Linked DNA regions of Elephas maximus indicus. The protein of the gene in region 1 interacts with the protein of each later gene in a pairwise test. Links are inferred from orthologs where the notes say so. Each region holds a gene or a part of one and is shown on either strand. Other genes may lie near its edges.

Region 1 (6,092 bases):
CACCGTAACTGAAAAAAAAATGTAAACAAACACAATGATTTTACTTCATTTTGGGGAGAATCGCAGCCAGTTTCATGGATAACCCTTCACAGAGCTCAGAACACCAAGCTTTTCAGGCCAGATTTCATTCATATTTGGTATTTCCAGGGCCTGGACATGCAGTTAGAAATCATGGCTGCCAGTGTATTCTTGGTAGATTATATTCCTATCTCCTGCACCCAGGGACTGGTGACAAGGCCACATTTTCTGTCCTTCCTGTTGACCTTTCTTGCTGTTTCTCCTGCTACAGAAACAGGTCCTCCCAACGGCTCCCTGCATGCCTATAGCTCTAACAGACACGGGCTTTCAGATATACAGTAAAACCTATGAAAGCCAGAACCCATGTAACGTGGAAACCTGTCAGACAAGAAAAACTCAAATATTTTCCATTAATAGAGAGTGATAGAAGAGCAGTAGGCTTGTACCCTGTCAAAGGTGGAAAACTTGTGAGACCCGGAAAAACAATGCATTCCGTTCGAGTTCCAGCTCTCACAGGTGTCACTGTATACAGAGGTTGTTCAAATTTGCTGATGGATGGTAAAACCAACCACTAGTAAATAGGGGTGAGGACTAATTGGTAGCTGTGAAGAATGCTAATCTATTTACACTCAGGTTGGAAAATGCTCCCGAAATGCAAATCAAGCTTGCCTCCCAAGACTCTTCCCAGCAGGAAGGCCTTTCTCAGTCTAAACAGCTTTTCCTTACCATTAAGATAATTATATTCTACACACAAGTAGACAAAAAAGAAACACGCGGGGAAGTGGAAAGGAATGGGGAGTGAATTATTAGTACAGCAAAGTAAAAAAAAAGGGTGTAAGTCTGAGGAAACACCAAACAGTTCCAAGTACAAATGGAAGGAACCACCCTAAAATATTTAAGAGATTTCATGAGCTCATTCATTAAAAAGACTTCAACTAATATTCCCCTCAGTCCTTTCAGCTTTTCCACAGACACATTAAGTCTGGGTTTTAAGCATGTGTAATATGCCACACAGCCCTTGGTTTGGCCCCATGGAGCTTCCATAATGAAAAACAACACACGAAATTGGATCCACATGCGTTTGGCCCACTGGTTGGGCTCAGTGGTGTATTTCATCCTGACAGACAGCAAGGCTGTTGCTCAACTCCCATTGCTCAACTCCCAGGGGTGGGCCTTCACAATAACCGCTGGCTATATATTAAAACAAAACCAACTGGCCAGGAATAAGTGTGACAGCCACCCCTTCAAGCTTTCTGTACCTCAAGTTCAGTCTCCCGTCTGTTGATCTCATCCGTGGATTGATTTAACTTCTCCAGTTCTCCCTAGTGAAGAAAAGAGAGAGAAAAAAGATTTGAGGGGTCAGGCTTCTGTTTCCAATAAAATTCAGCTCATAACCTGAAAAACTACCCCAGCCCAATTCATAGGAAGACGGAAAAGGTGGTTTTAATTTTCAAGGAAAACAGATGAGTTTGAGCTGGAGGAGCAAATGAAATGTCTGTATTTCTGAAAACTTTATCTTGACGGTATCTCTTTTAAAAATGACTTAAGGGTCTAGGAATTATTTGTCTTTTCCGATAGTCAAATATTTATTCCAGGTAAGTGCCTCCAGGTAAACCCACCTTATTACAAAGGGTTCAGCTACCAAATTCAAACAGTAACCTCTGCCTTAGAGAAGGAGAACGTTGTAGAAAAAATTAAAAAAAGAAATCAGCACATGCTAAAAATATAAGCCCAGTGAAATGATTTAACTCAAGGAAAGACTTCTGTCATTAACTCATCAGCGGCTGAGTGTTTTTCTACAAGGAAAATTTTTTTTTTTCCAAAACTGCCAATTATTTAACCTGCCTAGCCTTTTTTCTTTCTATACTAGCTTTAATCCCAGTCCTTCAAATAAACATTTACAACCAACATCTGTAAAAAGTACCCAGTCTGAAGTTAACTCCTCTTTACTCTGCAAACAAAGGCTATTGCTAACAGAATCGCCTAGCAAGAACGCAAACCAGTGATTTTAATTAATAGGATCATTCCTAATAGAAAGATTTTTTCCCCCTGATCTTTACCTTGCTAATCTGCCAAAAACAATTCATTTAAACCCTAGCCACTTAGTTTAACGAGGTTTTAATTGATCTACGCACTGAAAAACCAGTTAGGTAGGGCTCCAGAGATTGCATGGCATTGCTTACAAGCAATATAAAAAAAATGATTTATGGAAAGGGTAAAAAAAAAAAAAAAAATGGGTCTTGGAAAAGAGATTTGCTGTGTTTTTGCTTAGGGGTGAAGAGGTTAAGCTGTCACACACAGATTTCGGCTTGAAAATTGTTTTTTAATCATCCCTCTAGGAAAAAGCCTTGGTGCCGCAGTGTTCGCTGAGCTGCTGCTAACTGAAAGGTTGGCCGTTCGAACCCACCAGGCTCTCTGCAGGAGAAAGATGTTGACAGTCGGCTCCCCTAAAGATTACAGCCTTGGAAACCCTATGGGGCAGTTCTACCCTGTCCTATGGGATCGCTATCAGTCCGAATTCACTCGACGGCAATGGATTTGGTTTTTGGTCTAGGAAATGGAAGCACAGAAGGCCAGGCCAGCCCCCTCGCCTCCTCCACGCGTCGGTTCGGCTCATCAGTTGTGCCTGGTTTCTGTTCACACCCGACCCCACAACAAGGAAAAAAGCAGGGCTTTAACCCATTTCAAGCCAAGCGGAGGTTTGAGCCAATGGCGACAATAAACCCTCCCAGTTTCCCTACAATAAATCAAAGGAGGAGGAAGGCAGCTCAGGCTGGGCACCCTGGCCAGGTGGGGGTGCCGGACCCAGGACACCGGTGCCAGTCCACGCTGCAGGGGCGGCAACGCCCACCCGCCAGGCTCGCGGGCCGGGCAAACCCTCCTCCCGGAGCCGGGAGGCTGTGCAATGCCTGCGGCGCCACTAGCCTGGCTGAGAGCACCCCGATACCGGCATGGCGCCCCCGCCCCCTTTTTCCCTTTGTTGTGCATCCGCCGAACCACTGGTACGCTGCGGGGACCCCCAAATCTCGCCAGGGGCCTGCAGGGGTCCCCGCAATATAGTCAGGCCGCATCCAAAGAGCACTGCAGCCCCCTCAGTGGGGAACGGTGAAACCGAGTATTCAGACCCTCTCGTCTCGCCCCGGACCGCAGCGCTAGACGTTGCGGAGCGGGATGTAGGTGTAGACGCCGACCTCCACCGCAGCCCTCGCGGAACCCGGCCCGAGGGGCCCCCGCGCGCCCTACCTGGATCCGAGGATCCACCTCCTCCTCCTCCTCCAGCCCCTTCTCCATGCCTTCTCCCTCCTCCTCCTCCTCCACGTCCCGGGCAGGCGGCGGGAGCTCGGCGGGCTCCTCGGAGCGACTCCGCTTCAGCGCCGCGTCCATGCAGGCAGGGTGCGGGCCCCGCAGCCAGAACGCGAGCCGCGCCTTAGGATCCGGAGCGTCCGAGGGGTCGCGGCCGCCGCAGGCTCGCCCAAGCCCGGCACGGTCCCGGCAGCCGCCGCGGTCGACACCCAGGAACGCCGCTCGCGGATGCGGGTCGGTCCGGCCCAGGCGGAGCGAGCGGAGGAAATGCGCCCGGGCGCCCCCTTTCTGCCGCGGCCGCTAGGACAGCGGCGCCCGCTCCGCCCTCGCCCGGCCGCCCCTCGGCGCGGCGCTGACACCATTCATGGGCCAGTCGCAATTACCCAGGTGTCCGTCACAAAAACCCCAGCTTCCTGAAGACCTCAAGGGAGGTGAAATGGGACAGCCCCCGCTCCCTTTTAACTGAGCAGCACGAATACATTGCGAACTACCTAACGCTAGCCACCTGTTTTCTGGGTAGCTTTCTCCCTCCTCGACAAGGCAGATTTAGGATGGGAGGAAAGTTGGGGACTTTTCCACTCTCTGAAGTTACCTTTACAGTCCCGTACTCAGTGACCCTACATTAATTTCAAGGCTCTCTGAAGCCCCTGTCCCCTCGGCTAAACCTTGTGAGTTGTATCTACTTGGAGATTTCCCCAGAAATGGGAACTGAAACATCCACCCTAGACGCGCAGAGCTGCACGTATGGATTCCTTTTCCACAGGCTGTGGCCTCTCCTGGCCAGAACTCCATGCCCAAACACATGCCCACGGGATGGTCCTACCTGAATAGCCGTGAAGCAGCGAGAATTCACTGAGTGTGGATTCAGGTAGGTTGGTACGGCCTTTTCAAGGAAGCAGCAACTGTAAGACCTGTTGATGGGCATACTCTAGCCAAGGGGTTATGAACTGGCGAGGTTTCCTGCCCAACCCACAGGTAGGGAGCCAACACTTGCCTGGGAAACTCGGCATCACCAAAGGCCTAACAAAAGGACATGTCTACACCATGATGAAGTGTCAGGGCCACTGTGAGGTTGGAGGACTACAGGGTCAGGTAACCTTAGCAAAGCACTCCAGGGATAACACCACTGATCAGGAAGTATACACTTTCATCACCAAGGCTTGTGGGCCCTTGGCTCTGTGAGAACAAACCTGCTTGAGAACAGAGCTTTCTGAGAGCCTATCATTAAAGTCTTGAGGGCATGTGTGGTTCAGTGGTAGACTTCTTGCCTTTCATGCAGGAGACCCAGGTTCCATTTCTGGCCAATGGACCTCACGCTCAGCCACCTCTCTCCTGTCAGTGGAGGCTTCCTTGTTACTATTAATCTGAACCGGTTTTGGCAGAGCTTCTGGAGTAGGAAGAATGGCCTGGTGATCTGCTTCTGAAAAATCAGTCATGAAAAACCCTGTGGAGCATAGTTCTACCCTGACACACATGGCGTCACCAAGAGTTGGGGGACAACTTGACAGCAGCTAACAACGGCATTATTAAAGCCACCTTGGAAAACCCACTTCTGACGGTTTTATCAGAAGCTAAATTGTGGGGTTACTCCTTGAGCAAAGCACCACCCTACATGCCAGCATTATGGTCCATTGTCAAAGGAAGTTGTCCTATTTCCTAGGGAGGTAGTGCAGGTGTACATTGCAGGTTTCTGAGGGGCATTTTGTGTTTTGGTTTTTTTTGTTCTGAAAAGATCACTGTAGTAGGAGCTTTATAGGGTTGGAACCCATTAAAGGCCTTGCTATTCTGTGGAGAATGTTTTCGTAGGTAATTGGATTTTCACGTGGAGGCTCTAAGACAGGGAGCAAAGGTCCTGAGATCAAAGGGTACCTGTTTGAAAAATAGCAAAGAGGCTGGTGTGGTTAGAGGAGAAACAAGTAAAAGAGAAATAGACTATAAGGGAGGTAATAGGGGGTTGAGTGTGGAACCTAGAGACTCAGTAAGACAAGGAACAGAGGGGCCCCCAAATCTGCAAACAAAGTAACAAGAAATGGGCCAGGGCACAGAAACAAAGCCATTTCACAGAACAATGGGGCAGGGCATCTAAAAATAGCCTGCAAACTTCTTTAAAGTTGCCTTTCAGAAGCAGCTGGAGAAAACCAGGCCCAGGGACATGCGAAGAACATCCACTTGTGGCCGCTTTGTGGCCTTCCACCAGAGGCAGGGAGGGGCTACAGCCCCAGCTGGGGACTCGAACCCGGACAGCGGGGGACTACGCAGGTGTGACACCCCATAATAAGTCCTGCTATGAATCCCAGAGGCCTCCAGGACAGGAGCCATCTTGGAAAGCTGCTGCGCACACCTTAGATAACATATCCCAGCCTGTGCCTATGAATAAACATGAATCTTTTCCTGCCCAAGAACTTTTAAAAACTCAGGGCCTGTCTTTTGTTCTGTGAGATGAGGGTAAGCATTGCTCTAGGCCCTCCTGATCTCCGCTTGCAAGCCTCTTCAATAAAGCTTTCCTCGTGTGGAAAACTACGTGCCTTACGTGCTCATTCTTGACCACTGAGAGGCAAGAACCTTATTCCGGTAACAGCTTCATGTCCCCTCACCACCACACACACACCTTTATCTGTTCATTGCTCTTTAACTTAGTGACCCAATGATTTTCTTCTTTGAATTTTTTGTTGATACCCTGTGTTCTCACTAATGGAAGGCATGCTGATTTAAGGACCAACTTAGAATTTTTGTTATGATTTATGGATTTTGATACCCATCGTCTAGGATCC
Region 2 (6,092 bases), on another chromosome or scaffold:
TCCTCCTCCATTCTCTATCCAGATTAAATACACTCAATCCAGAAACTTGGAGACTCTTCCTGCTCCCTCACCACTCTCCCAAATCACTCAGTGAGTTACTAAAAAGCCAAACTAAACCCGTTGCCAGAGAGTCAATTCTGACTCACAGCAAACCATAGGAAAGAGTAGAGCTGCCCCATAGGGTTTCCAAGGATATAAATCTTTATGGAGGCAGATTGCTACATCTGTATCCCACAGAGCAGCTGGTGAGCTCAGACCACCAACCTTTCAGTTAGCAGCCGAGAGCTTTAATCACTGTATGTCAATTGTGCCCTTTAAACATCTCTCAAATAAAATCTATTCCCACAATTCCATCCAAATGGATCCTTAGTTCGAATAAATGTCGTCTCTTGGCTGAACTATTAAACTAGCCTCCTAACTTTTCTCCTTACTTCAGGTCCACATTCTTCTCCAATCCATTTTCCATCCTATGGTCAAAGTGAACTGTCTAAAATTCATATCTGATGTTAATCTGTTTACAAATCCTCAATGGCTTCTTCTCCCAAGGTAAAATTAAAATTCCTTAGCTTAACATATAAAAAAATTCTCTATAAACCAGGCTCATCCTCTGACACTCCCCATCATGTTCTAATTCAGGCATTTCTAGAATATGTCTTTTGTCTTTTTATCCTTAGTGTTGGGGTCATGCAGTAGGATGTTCTGGGCATATTCAGGAAAGAAGTAGTCAGTCTAGTCTGGCTAAAGCATAAGAATATGAATGATTATGATAAGCAATTTAGTTAGAAAAACTAGATCAATGATCACTATCAGCTCCACGCTAGAGACTGCATACTTCATTCTAGGCCCTTAAAAAGACATCAACTATTCTGAACAAGGGCATGACATGTTCAGAAGTGTACTTTAACTTGTGAAATTTGCAAAATACACAAAGGAGACGTGGGAGGGGACGGTGAACTCACTTAAGAGGCTATTGCAGTAGTTTGGGAAAGGGAACTCAATTAAAGCAACTGGAGTAGGAAGGGATAGCTTCCAAGAACACGTCAAGGGGCAACAAATCTAAGTTTTGCCTGGTTGTGGACAATAATGCCAAGACAGATATCAGAGATGATTCCAAAGTTTTGAGCCAGTCAAATAAAATAATAAGGCCATTAAATCAGTTTCTATCGAACTGATCCTAACTCATGGCAACCCCACGTGTGTCAGAGTAGAACTGCGCTGCCTAGGGTTTTCAATGGCTGTGCACTTTCAAAAGTAGATTGCCTGGCCTTTCTTCCAAGGTGCCTGTGGGTGGATTCGAACTACCAACCTTTAAGTTAGTAGCCAAGCGCTTAACCAGTTGTGCCACCCAGAGACTTCATAAATCAAGAAGAAATACTAGAAAATGTTAGGTGGAAGGAAGAGAGTTGATGGTTTTAGTTTGGGAAATACTGTGTTTAAGGGACGTGAAAGAAATATACGTATTCCCACACCCATTCATTCAAATAATACGAGTGCCTACGAGGTGTCTGAATATGCATGGGAGACAAAATGAAAAGTAAGACATCATCTGTGTTCTCAAGGAGCATCCAATCTAGTAGCAAAGGTGGGGGACAAATAAATGTTGTTAGGTGCCCAGCGAGATGATTGACTCACAGTGACCGCCAACTGCCCCACAGGGTTTTCTAGGCTGTAATCTTAAGGGAAGTAGATCACCAGGCCTTTCTACCATGAAGTTGCCAATCTGTTGTTTAGTGGCAGAACCTTTGCACCACTAGAGCTCCTTAGACAAGTAAATAAGAACTTAAAATTCACTGTTAAGTACTAGCCTGGAGTGCTAAAAGAAAACAAAGGAGGACTATCCAATTCAGCCCTGTAGATTCAAGAAAAACTCTGACATGGAGAATGAGTTCTGAAGGAGTAGAGTTAGGCCAGGCAAAGAAGGGCGGCCCAGGTGAAGGAAACAGCAAGTATAAACAGCCTCAGGTAAGAGAACACAACAGTTGGACACAAACAGTTCAATAAGTCTGATGGAAGAGTTCAAGATGTGGAGATACCCAGGTGAAATGTTCAGCAGGCAGGTGAAAATTCAGGTGTTCAGCTCCCTAGAGCATATCCAGATATGAAATATATTTTCAATCTTAGGTGGCTTAGAATCAATAATGAGTATATGAATGAGGATTGGAAGAACATTACATATCAGGTTGATGTGTACGCTTTCGCCTTTGCCTCCTCACCATCACTTCTACTGCCATCAGATAGTCATCTCTCTGCTTAAAGTGAATGCTGGTTTCAGTAATAAGCAAAGTTGACCAGTGGGGATTGTGGTAAACTGGAGATACATGCCTTGCTCAAAGGGATCAGCCATTTACTCAGCTCCAGCCTTACCTGAATGTCAGTTCAATACAAAAAGATCTTCCTATTCTTCAAGAAATGTTGAAAATTCAAATTGCACATAATATCTCCCGTTTTTAAATGCTGGCAGCAAATTACATTTAAAAATAACAAAACAATATTGTGCCAGCCAACAAAATGCTTCCATGGACAGAATTCAGCAATGGCCACCAGCATGGCAGAGTTAGACCAGCTCTGCCAACTCCTACACCACTCTTTCCCCTACTTCACAGGACCCTTAACTGATAGGTTATCGTGGCAGTTACCTCAAATTAGGAGTTAACTGATTCTGAACAAAATGGCCCCAAACTGATAATGTTTGAGTTCTTTTTATGTTTTCAAGCAATTTGTCTACCTCCCTGTCAGAATACCTGCTTCTAGCATCACAGAGACCTCCTACCACCCCCCCCCCCATCTATTACAAGCTAAAAAGCCAAGCCTGCAAATAAAGCAAAAGCAAACAGATGGAAAGCCTGATGGGATTTCTAAGGAGGAATAAGGTATATAAGCCATACGTTGTCTCTCTGGTTTTCTTAAAAAACAACATGTCAACAGTATTTGTAAAATTGTTGAGAAAAAAAGACAGTAACTTAAACCTGAAATTTTGAGGATATTCTGCTAACTAACTAGTTTCCACAGTAAAAACCAAAGAGGGGGAGGGGAAGAACAAGGCAAAAGGGAAAGTAAAAGTTGCCGGCCTTTGACAAATAACAGACACCTTTTAAGAAACATTTTTCAAAAGTATAAATATTTTGCACAAAAAGTACACGATAATCTCAATTGTTAAAATATATTTTAACAAGATAACATGAAACATTCTTTGAGCAACAAGAAACCGGGATTCAAGAAGAGTAAAGCGATCTCTATACTTACAGAAAAGGTAAGAGAAAAGAAGAAAACAAAAAAATACTCTGGTAGTTGTTTTTAAAGTCATTCAACACATCAGTCTCTGATGTTCTGAGGTGTATATTAAGTCACAACGTTGCTTTTCGAAGCTACTACAATGTAGCAACATTTCCTAATTATACTGAAACATTTAAAAGCACAGAACACGGTGTAGAACCTGAGATAACAATGTGGCAAACCTGAAGAAACATACAAAGGTTAAAAAGGTTTGTAATCAACAAACCAAACGACAGATTCAGATTTTCAGGCTCTCAGAAAACAACAACAACCAAAACCCTTAAAATAATGGCATCTGCACCCACCCCTGTTACTCGGAAGAGTGGAGGAATCTGGAGGAATGGGGAGTGATTACTGAGGTCGAGCAGAGCAAGCCGTGTTTCTCTTGCTACTGGCAGGAGAGCTCTGCAATTACTTAGGGCAAGCATTCTGGCCAGAGCACTCTTCGAGCCCACTAAAATGAGCAGGCTGGACGCCTACAACGGAGGCTGACAGCAGCTCCTGGTAAAACGAAGGCGGAAAAGTGGCCTGCTTTGACCTCCACTAAAAACCCGGGCTCCTCCAACTGGTGTCTCCGAATCAAGGGGCAGGGCATTCCTCGCTCAGTGGTTGGATTATTCGGACAACTCTCCCTGGCTTCCTGCGGCCTTCCCACAGCCCGGGTAATGTCAACACCGAGAGCCAGCCCAATGTGGGGAAGCTCTCAGCGTGCCGTCCCTTCGGTGAGGCCGGGAAGAAAGACGGCCCTGCGCGCCCCGCCTCCCCAGCCCTTGGCCGGCCCCGGCGCCCTCGCCGGGGCTGCAGTCGGGAAGCGGGGTCCCGCGCGCTCCTCACCTTCTTCAGCGCTGGCACCAGCAGCCCCCGCCACTTGGGCGCGTTCTCTTCGCTGAAAAACTCGTACGGCAGCTGCTGCGCCTGCATGGTGCCCCCGGGGCGCCTCTGGGCGGGGAGGGGGCGGCGGAGGCCGGGCCGAGGAGCCGCGAGAGGGCGAGCTCGCTGCGCTGAGCAGGGCCGCGGCCCCGCCGGACGGCCCGGCCCCCTCGGGGCGCCGCGCTGCCGGGCTAGCCCTGGCGAGGGGCCTGGGGGGCGAGGCCCGCGCCCGGCCACCCACCCGACACGGGCACCAGCCGCCAAGAGCGAACGCAGCCCGGAGGCGGCGGCGGCGGCATCCCGCACCACCGCCCCGGGGCCGGGCCCCCACCCCTCCCCGGCCCGCCGGCGCCGCCCCGGGCTGCCCTCCGCTGCGGCCGCCGCGCGCCCGTCCGCCGGGGCTGCGCTCCCGGGCCCGGCCTGGCCCCGCGGCGGAGCTGGCGGCGGGGGGAGGGCGTGTGGAGGGGCGCTCGGGGAGCGGCGCTCGCTCCGCGCAGCAGGGACCCCGAAACGCGCGAAGCTCCGCGCGGGGCGGAGCGGGGCCGGGGTCTCGCGGGGAAGGGGAAGGGCCCGAGGTCGTTGCGGGCAATCCGGCCGCCTGAGGTGCCGCCGCGGCCGCCGCCGACGCCGGTGTAGCGCTGGAGCTTCCTACTTGCGAACTGAACCTGCTGGCTACTGAGCATGCGCCGCCGGGCCGGAGTGGCTCGCTCCGGGTTTTCTGGCTCACCCGGGAAGGAGGCGAAGCTCGCGGGGAGGGGGCGCCCGGCCGGGCTGTGGCTGCGCCCCGGGGCTGCAGGGGAGGGGCGAAGGAGCCCGGAGAAGCCGGACCCCGACGGAGCGGGGCCGGGAGAGGGGGCGGGGAGAGACGGGCGGTGGCGAGCTCCGGGAAGCGGCCCCCATTGTGTGCATCGGTCGCGAGGGATCGCACACTTCTCTCGGAGCCCCTGGGCCTTTCGTTTCGGAAAGAGGTGCTTTTGTGTGTGTACCTTGTTCCCGAACATTTGGATAAGGACTGTCCAGAGCTTGGACGAAAGATAGTTCCCTTCTCACAGAACCTACTGCTCAATACTAGTGGGCTAGTAAAAGTGACTGCAGCGTTTCCAGGCACCAAGGCCCAAATGTGTACGTGTAGTGTTGATTTTCTGCGTGTCCGTGTTCTTACATCACATGTGTTCATCCCTCTAGCCCACTTCAAATGTGAAGTCCTCCAGTGGAGACTAGTTGAGACCTCTCCTGAAGCTCCCAAATCCCAGAGTACTTACACCTCTCTCACGAAGCTTAGTCTGTCCTGTTTCGTACCTTTCCTGGCTCTTTCGACTAGATAAGAACAGATAATAACTCCTGGAAGGCAGATCTTTCCTACCAGGGGTTTTACACAGAATAGGCACTTTTTTTTTTTTTTTTAGGCACTTAGTGAATGTTTGTGGGATCCTGGAGGAGAGTGATCTGTAAATTGTTCCTCCATCCCAGGGCTGTAGGTGTTTGTTTCTAACAGCAGCACTCTATGGCAGGCACCTCCTAGTTTATCATTCAAAACTTTTTGAGCATCATCTCATTTAATCCTCATAGCAACCCTATTGTTTTCACTTCACAGATGAGGAAACTATTAGAGAAGTTGACATTGATGAGAAAGGTTTAAACACTGGTTATTAATCTTTACAGGATAAAAGTCTTAAGACCTTCCCTTTTAAAATGTACACACATGATTTACATAAAATTTTTTTTCACTATCGAAGGGTTCAGAATAAGATTTTAAGCTCTATTTATAAGTCCTCTGGGTAAGGAGTAGAGAAACCATACCTTGGAAGGAGTTGGGGGCATGAAAAAGGGTCTCTTCAAATATCTAAAGGACTGTGATTGGAAAAAATAGTTTGTGTGGTTCTTGGTAATTGAACTAAGACCTCACCTTTGCCACAACTCTTCCTTGACTTCCCGTTGCTTTTTAATAC
Region 3 (6,092 bases), on another chromosome or scaffold:
TGGTTTCCTGGGAGAAAGACCTGAAAATCTGCTTCCATAAAGGTTCAAACAGCCAAGAAAACTCCGTAGGGCAGTTTTCCTCTGTCACATGGGATCACTGCGAGTCAAAATTGAGTTTATGACACCCACAACAACTCAGTCTATACATGATGGAGAAGACTAGACTTAGTAAAGCTTCAATGTTATGCAGAGTCCTGGTGGCATAGTGGTTAAGAGTTCAGCTGCTAACCAGAAGGTCAGTAGTTCGAATCTACCAGCCGCTCCTTGGAAACTATGGAGCAGTTCTACTCTGTCCTATAGGGTCACTATGAGTCAGAATTGAGTCAGTGGTAATGGGTTTGGTTTTTGGTTTTTACGCGTATAAACCTGAAAGTATGGTAACTCACTAGAGGGTATTATGTTTTTAGACTGAAAAGTTTATTGTTTTGTCTGTTTTTCACAATCGAGCTAAAATTTTTTTTCTTAGTCAGTTCAAGGTTAGAATCGCATAACAGTACTGTTTCACTGTTTGTATTGTAGATTATCTGGGTACACATATACCTCAAAAATAGAATAAAAAGTTAACCACTGCGGCAAACAGGAGAGCCTGATTTGGAAGACAAGCTCTATTTCATGTGTGACTAATTCTAAACAAGTCCATTAAACAAATACATCTCACTTATCAACCATCTCATTATCTGACATTCTGCATTTACAACAATAGTAAAAGATCTACTATCTGACTATTTTGCACATTAATGATGCATGTCTGGCAGTAACGAATGCTGATATGTGAGGCAAAAGTAACACTGGCCGTGACTGTTAAGGTTATGTGTCAACTTGGCTGGGCCATGATTCTCAGTGGTTTGGCAGTTATGCAATAATGCAAATTGGCAGTTACGTGATGATGTAGTCATCCTCCATTTTTGTGATCTGATGTGGTCATCCATCATTTTTGCATAACGACCTGGTCTTTGGAACCTAACTATGTGGATAAGCGAGAAAAGGGTATAATTCTAAGTAGCTGTCATTTGTTAGTGATTACTTCAAAAGAGGTATGATAACAAACTGCAAGATGTGTAAAACATGTTTTAAAATAGCAATTTACAACAAATTACGCAAAAGTAAACAACCTAGGTTGAGTTATAAAACACTTAGATCTTTTATTTAACTTAAAGAAAAAGAAATACTATTTCATGTAAGGAGTCCTAGTGGCGTAGTGGTTAAAGAGCTCTGCTGCTAACCAAAAGGTCAGCAGTTCAAATCCACCAGCCACTCCCTAGAAACCCTCTGGGGCAGTTCTACTCTGTCCTATAGGGTTGATATCAGTCGGAATTGACTCAATGGCAACGGGTATTTTATGTAAAATAAGCAACATCCTTGAGTAAATATCTAGTTGGATGGAAGCCTGTTTAGGATTCAGTTCACTACATCCCTAATAGTAGTGTCTATACGTCAAGAATGGATCCACTAACGTCATAGTGATTTTCTGTAAACGTGTTTCTCAAGCTGCTATATGAGTGGGTCACAAACAGAATCTGTGAAAAATGAAATATCAGTGTACACCACGCACAGTAAGAGAAAGTACTGTTTCCTGCAACTTTTGATTCAGTTGTGTATGTATATGTCACAGTATAAAATATATTTCTAAGTATACCCAGTGCCGTCGAGTCGTTTCCGACTCATAGCAACCCTATATTTTATATATTTCTAAGTATAGGGTACAGTAAAAAAGTGTTAAAGCTACTCTTGCAATGTATGCCCCCTGATTACTACTTCTCCCAAAATGTTACCAAAGCAGAACTCTGCACCACAGTGACTCACAAAACTTTAAAGTATCCTTAACCCAGGTGTTAAGTTATGATAGTTTAAGTTTGATTTCACAAGCTCTAAAATCAAACTGCCTGAGTTCAAATCCAGTTCTACCATTTACTGTGTGAACCTGGGCTTGTTTAAACAGTAAGTACCTCGTATTTATCATCTGTAAAATGAGGATAACAGTTATTTTCTGACTGGATGTAAAAATAAATAACACATATAGTAAGTTCTTAACATACATTTCATTACCAAAATCCCCGTCATCGAGTCGATTACGACTCATGGTGACCCCACAGGGTTTCCAAGGCGGTAAATTTCTACAGAAGCCGACTGCCACATCTTTCTTCTGCAGAGCAGCTGGTGGTTTCAAACTGCCAACCTTTCTGTTAGTAGTTGATTGCTTTGACCACTGCACCGCCAGGGTTCCTTATTTTATCACTAACAAGTGGAAGGAGTGACAAACAGAAACCCGGGAAGAAACTTAACCACAGATAGCTTTAGTGTGGCATGTCTGACATGCGAGGGCGTGTGGTGCTTTAACTTTTCACTTCCTATCTTTCTGTCCTATTTGAAATTTTGTATTATATATAATGTATACACTTCTAATGTAAAGTGTGTCATGCATATAAAATTATTACTTTTATCTTTTTTAAATACCAATAGTAGGTATGGGGACAGTGAGGTTATGGTCCTTTGCTTTTTTTATTTCTCCATTTTTTTAAGACACTAAGTGTTTTTAAAAGAATATACTCAGCTGTATGCTTTAAAAAAAAAAAGGTGAAGAATAAAGCGTGGAATCCAGGGCTTAAGAATTAGCTTTTTTTTTTTGAGAACTTATTATGTATTTCTACTTTCATGACATAATGCATCCAAATATTCTTCTCCAGTTGCTTCATACAGGAATATTTTGATCTCCCCAACTACACTGTACACTTCTTGAGAAAAAGAAGAGTTTCACAAACTTTATTTGTGTTTTCCACTGGCTTACTGAAACCATAACTGATGCTTAAACACTCGTTGAACCACATTAACCTTCTTCTGGTCTAGACCTGCTCTCGTGGGCATATCGTCGTTGTAAAAACGAAATGATCAAGCAAACAAAAGAAAATTACTCTAAGGTTGCCCAAATCTAACTTTATTCCTACACATTCAGAACTGAAAAGTTCGAGCATACCTATATCCAGAGACTACCACTACGGAGTATGAGTACAAGTAGCACTGTGCAAACACTAAACTATGGATTCACACAGCCCCTTACCACGCCCCCGTCACCTGGGCACTACCTAAAGAAAGGAGTCTTGTCTTCAGGTGAAGTGCTGAAGAACTATACCACGCTCCATTTTGTCCCATCAACTTAAATCAGTTTTCTTTTCGTACCCAGACCCCCGCCTCCAAGCCCCAAACTCTTAATAAACAATTTAAAACCTCTGACCTGCAGCGAAGTGCAGGGGAGAAGACTTCCGCCCGGCCATGTCCTTAGCATTCACGTTTGCGGCGTCCACCAGCCTCTTTACCCTGGACACGTCCCCATTGCGACAGGCCTCCAGCAGCTCCCGTAGGGCCCCGCTCACTGCGGCGACCCCCGGCCCAGGTCCCGCCGTCCCAGGCCCCAATGTCGTTGTGGTGCCAACGCCGGCAGCCTCGGGGCTCTCCGCCAAGCTCGATCCAGGAGAGGATGGAGAGGATGATGAGGAAGTCGGGGAAGAAGAGGACGACGGTGAGTTGTTACCGCCACCGCCGGATGGGTTGGGAGCGACCCCGACGGCAGATGAAGCAGAAACCACCGGGACCACGGGAGCGGCGGCGACGGTACAGATTGCGCTGGTGGTACTGCAACAGCTAGTACTGTCAACCGGGTCCGGAGATCGGGGCCTGTCGGGCGGATCCCGACTGCCATCCCCCTCCGGCAGTGCTAGGCCGTGCCGCGGGGAGGCGAAGGGGGCCAGGCCGCTGGCCGTGGGGGAGGCTGGGGTGGCCCCCGGGGCCAGGCCGGGGCTGAGTGGGGGGGGAGGTGGCGGCGGCGGCGCTGAAGCCCCTGGGGCGGGCTGGAGCTGTTGTTGATGATGGTGGTGATGATGCTGAGAGCGACGCGACGCCGCCATCTTCGGACTCCCCCAGCACTGTCACTGCGGCAACGGCCTCACCGCCCGCCCTCACTTCCGACCGCTGAACCAATCAGCACTCAGCGCACAGGAAATGATGCCGCGCGGGGTAGGCGGGGTGGAAGAGAAGGCGGGATGTATTGGGAGCTCAGAGAATGGCTACGGAAGGGGGCGTGGTCTCGTGGCTGAGGGGCGGGCTTTGTGACGTCTTGGCGGGCCGGCTGGGGAGATTTGAATGTTGGAGCCGGCCACTTCCTACCTGGGAAACTTCCTGCGTTTCTCACTCAGTTTGCCTTGCTGTGCTCTGTACGTTGCCAAGTCTCCTTCAGTCTTCCTTTTCATGCTACAGACCCAGCTCTTAAGGTGTAACTCACTCAAAGCAAACAGAGAATGTGTCGTTTGTCATCTATCAGCCTTTTTGTCTGGAAAAGGAAAAATGGAATAATACTTGTCTCACAGAATTATTAGCACGATTAAATGAGCTAACATACACAGAGGCCTCAATAAAACATAACTATAATTAGCCCATTGGTCATTTTAAAAATGCTGTCTTTTCTCTCTCAGTATTCCCTTTTGATCTCTGTATGTCATTGTTGTTGTAGTTATGAGCCGTCAAGTCGGTTCTGACTCATAGCGACCCTACGCACAACAGAACGAAACACTGCCCGGTCCTGCGCCATCCCTACAATCGTTGTTATGCTCGAGCTCATTGTTGCAGCCACTGTGTCAATCCACCTCCTTGAGGGTCTTCCTCTTTTCCACTGACCCTGTACTCTGCCAAGCATGATGTCCTTCTCCAGGGACTGATCCCTCCTGACAACATGTCCAAAGTAGGTAAGACGCAGTCTCGCCATCCTTGCTTCTAAGGAGCATTCTGGCCGCACTTCTTCCAAGACAGATTTGTTTGTTCTTTTGGCAGTCCATGGTATATTCAATATTCTTCTCCAATACCACAACTCAAAGGCGTCAATTCTTCTTCGGTCTTCCTTATTCATTGTCCAGCTTTCACATACATAGGATGCGATTGAAAATACCATGGCTTGGGTCAGGCACACCTGAGTCTTCAGGATGACATCTTTGCTCTTCAACACTTTGAAGAGGTGTTTTGCAGCAGATTTGCCCAATACAATGCGTCTTTTTATTTCTTGACTGCTGCTTCCATGGCTGTTGGTTGTGGATCCAAGTAAAACGAAATCCTTGACAACTTCAATCTTTTCTCCGTTGATCATGATGTTGCTCATTGGTCCAGTTGTGAGGATTTTTGTTTTCTTTATGTTAAAGTGTAATCCATACTGAAGGCTGTGGTCTTTGATCTTCATTAGTAAGTGCTTCAAGTCCTCTTCACTTTCAGCAAGCAAGGTTGTGTCATCTGCATAACGCAAGTTGTTAATGAGTCTTCCTCCAATCCTGATGCCCCATTCTTCTCCATATAGTCCAGCTTCTCGTTTTATTTCTTCAGCATACAGATTAAATGGGTATGGTGAAAGAATACAACCCTGACGTGCACCTTTCCTGACTTTAAACCAATCAGTATCCCCTTGTTCCGTCCAAATAACTGCCTCTTGATCTATGTAAAGGTTCCTCATGAGCACAATTAAGTGTTCTGGAATTCCCATTCTTCGCAGTGTTATCCATAGTTTGTTATGATCCACACAGTCAAATACCTCTGTGTAGTCAATAAAACACAGGTAAACATCCTTCTGGTATTCTCTGCTTTCAGCCAGGATCTATCTGACATCAGGAATGATATCCCTGGTTCCACACCCTCTTCTGAAACCGGCCTGAATTTCTGGCAGTTCCCTGTCGATTTACTGCTGCAGCCGTTTTTGAACGATCTTCAGCAAAATTTTGCTTGCATGTGATATTAATGATATTGTTCTATAATTTCCACATTTGGTTGAATCACCTTTCTTGGGAATAGGCATAAATATGGATCTCTTCCAGTCAGTTGGCCAGGAAGCTGTCTTCCATATTTCTTGGCATAGACGAGTGAGCACCTCCAGCGTTGCATCTGTTTGTTGAAATATCTCAATTGATATTCCATCAATTCCTGGAGCCTTGTTTTTCACCAGTGCCTTCAGAGCAGCTTGGACTTCTTCCTTCAGTACCATCGGTTCCTGATCATATGCCACCTCTTGAAATGGTTAAAAATTGACTAATTCTTTTTGGTATAATGAGTCTGTGTATTCCTTC

The links.
Region 2: the proteins of SH3BP5 (region 1) and SOS1 interact in a two-hybrid assay, tested with the Homo sapiens proteins (2 studies listed by BioGRID and IntAct). The link is inferred for Elephas maximus indicus from reciprocal best matches to the Homo sapiens genes SH3BP5 and SOS1.
Region 3: the proteins of SH3BP5 (region 1) and TNKS interact in a two-hybrid assay, tested with the Homo sapiens proteins (2 studies listed by BioGRID and IntAct). The link is inferred for Elephas maximus indicus from reciprocal best matches to the Homo sapiens genes SH3BP5 and TNKS.

Annotation. Positions count from the first base shown.
Region 1 is NC_064845.1:36,061,517-36,067,608, forward strand, and holds the start of SH3BP5 (SH3 domain-binding protein 5), read right to left. Parts: upstream 3,644-6,092; 5' UTR 3,403-3,643; coding exon 3,262-3,402; intron 1,341-3,261; coding exon 1,278-1,340; intron 1-1,277. UniProt on the Homo sapiens protein: Functions as a guanine nucleotide exchange factor (GEF) with specificity for RAB11A and RAB25. Inhibits the auto- and transphosphorylation activity of BTK. Plays a negative regulatory role in BTK-related cytoplasmic signaling in B-cells.
Region 2 is NC_064844.1:24,624,047-24,630,138, reverse strand, and holds the start of SOS1 (son of sevenless homolog 1), read right to left. Parts: upstream 4,293-6,092; 5' UTR 4,195-4,292; coding exon 4,108-4,194; intron 1-4,107.
Region 3 is NC_064840.1:71,012,002-71,018,093, forward strand, and holds the start of TNKS (poly [ADP-ribose] polymerase tankyrase-1), read right to left. Parts: upstream 3,944-6,092; 5' UTR 3,900-3,943; coding exon 3,230-3,899; intron 1-3,229.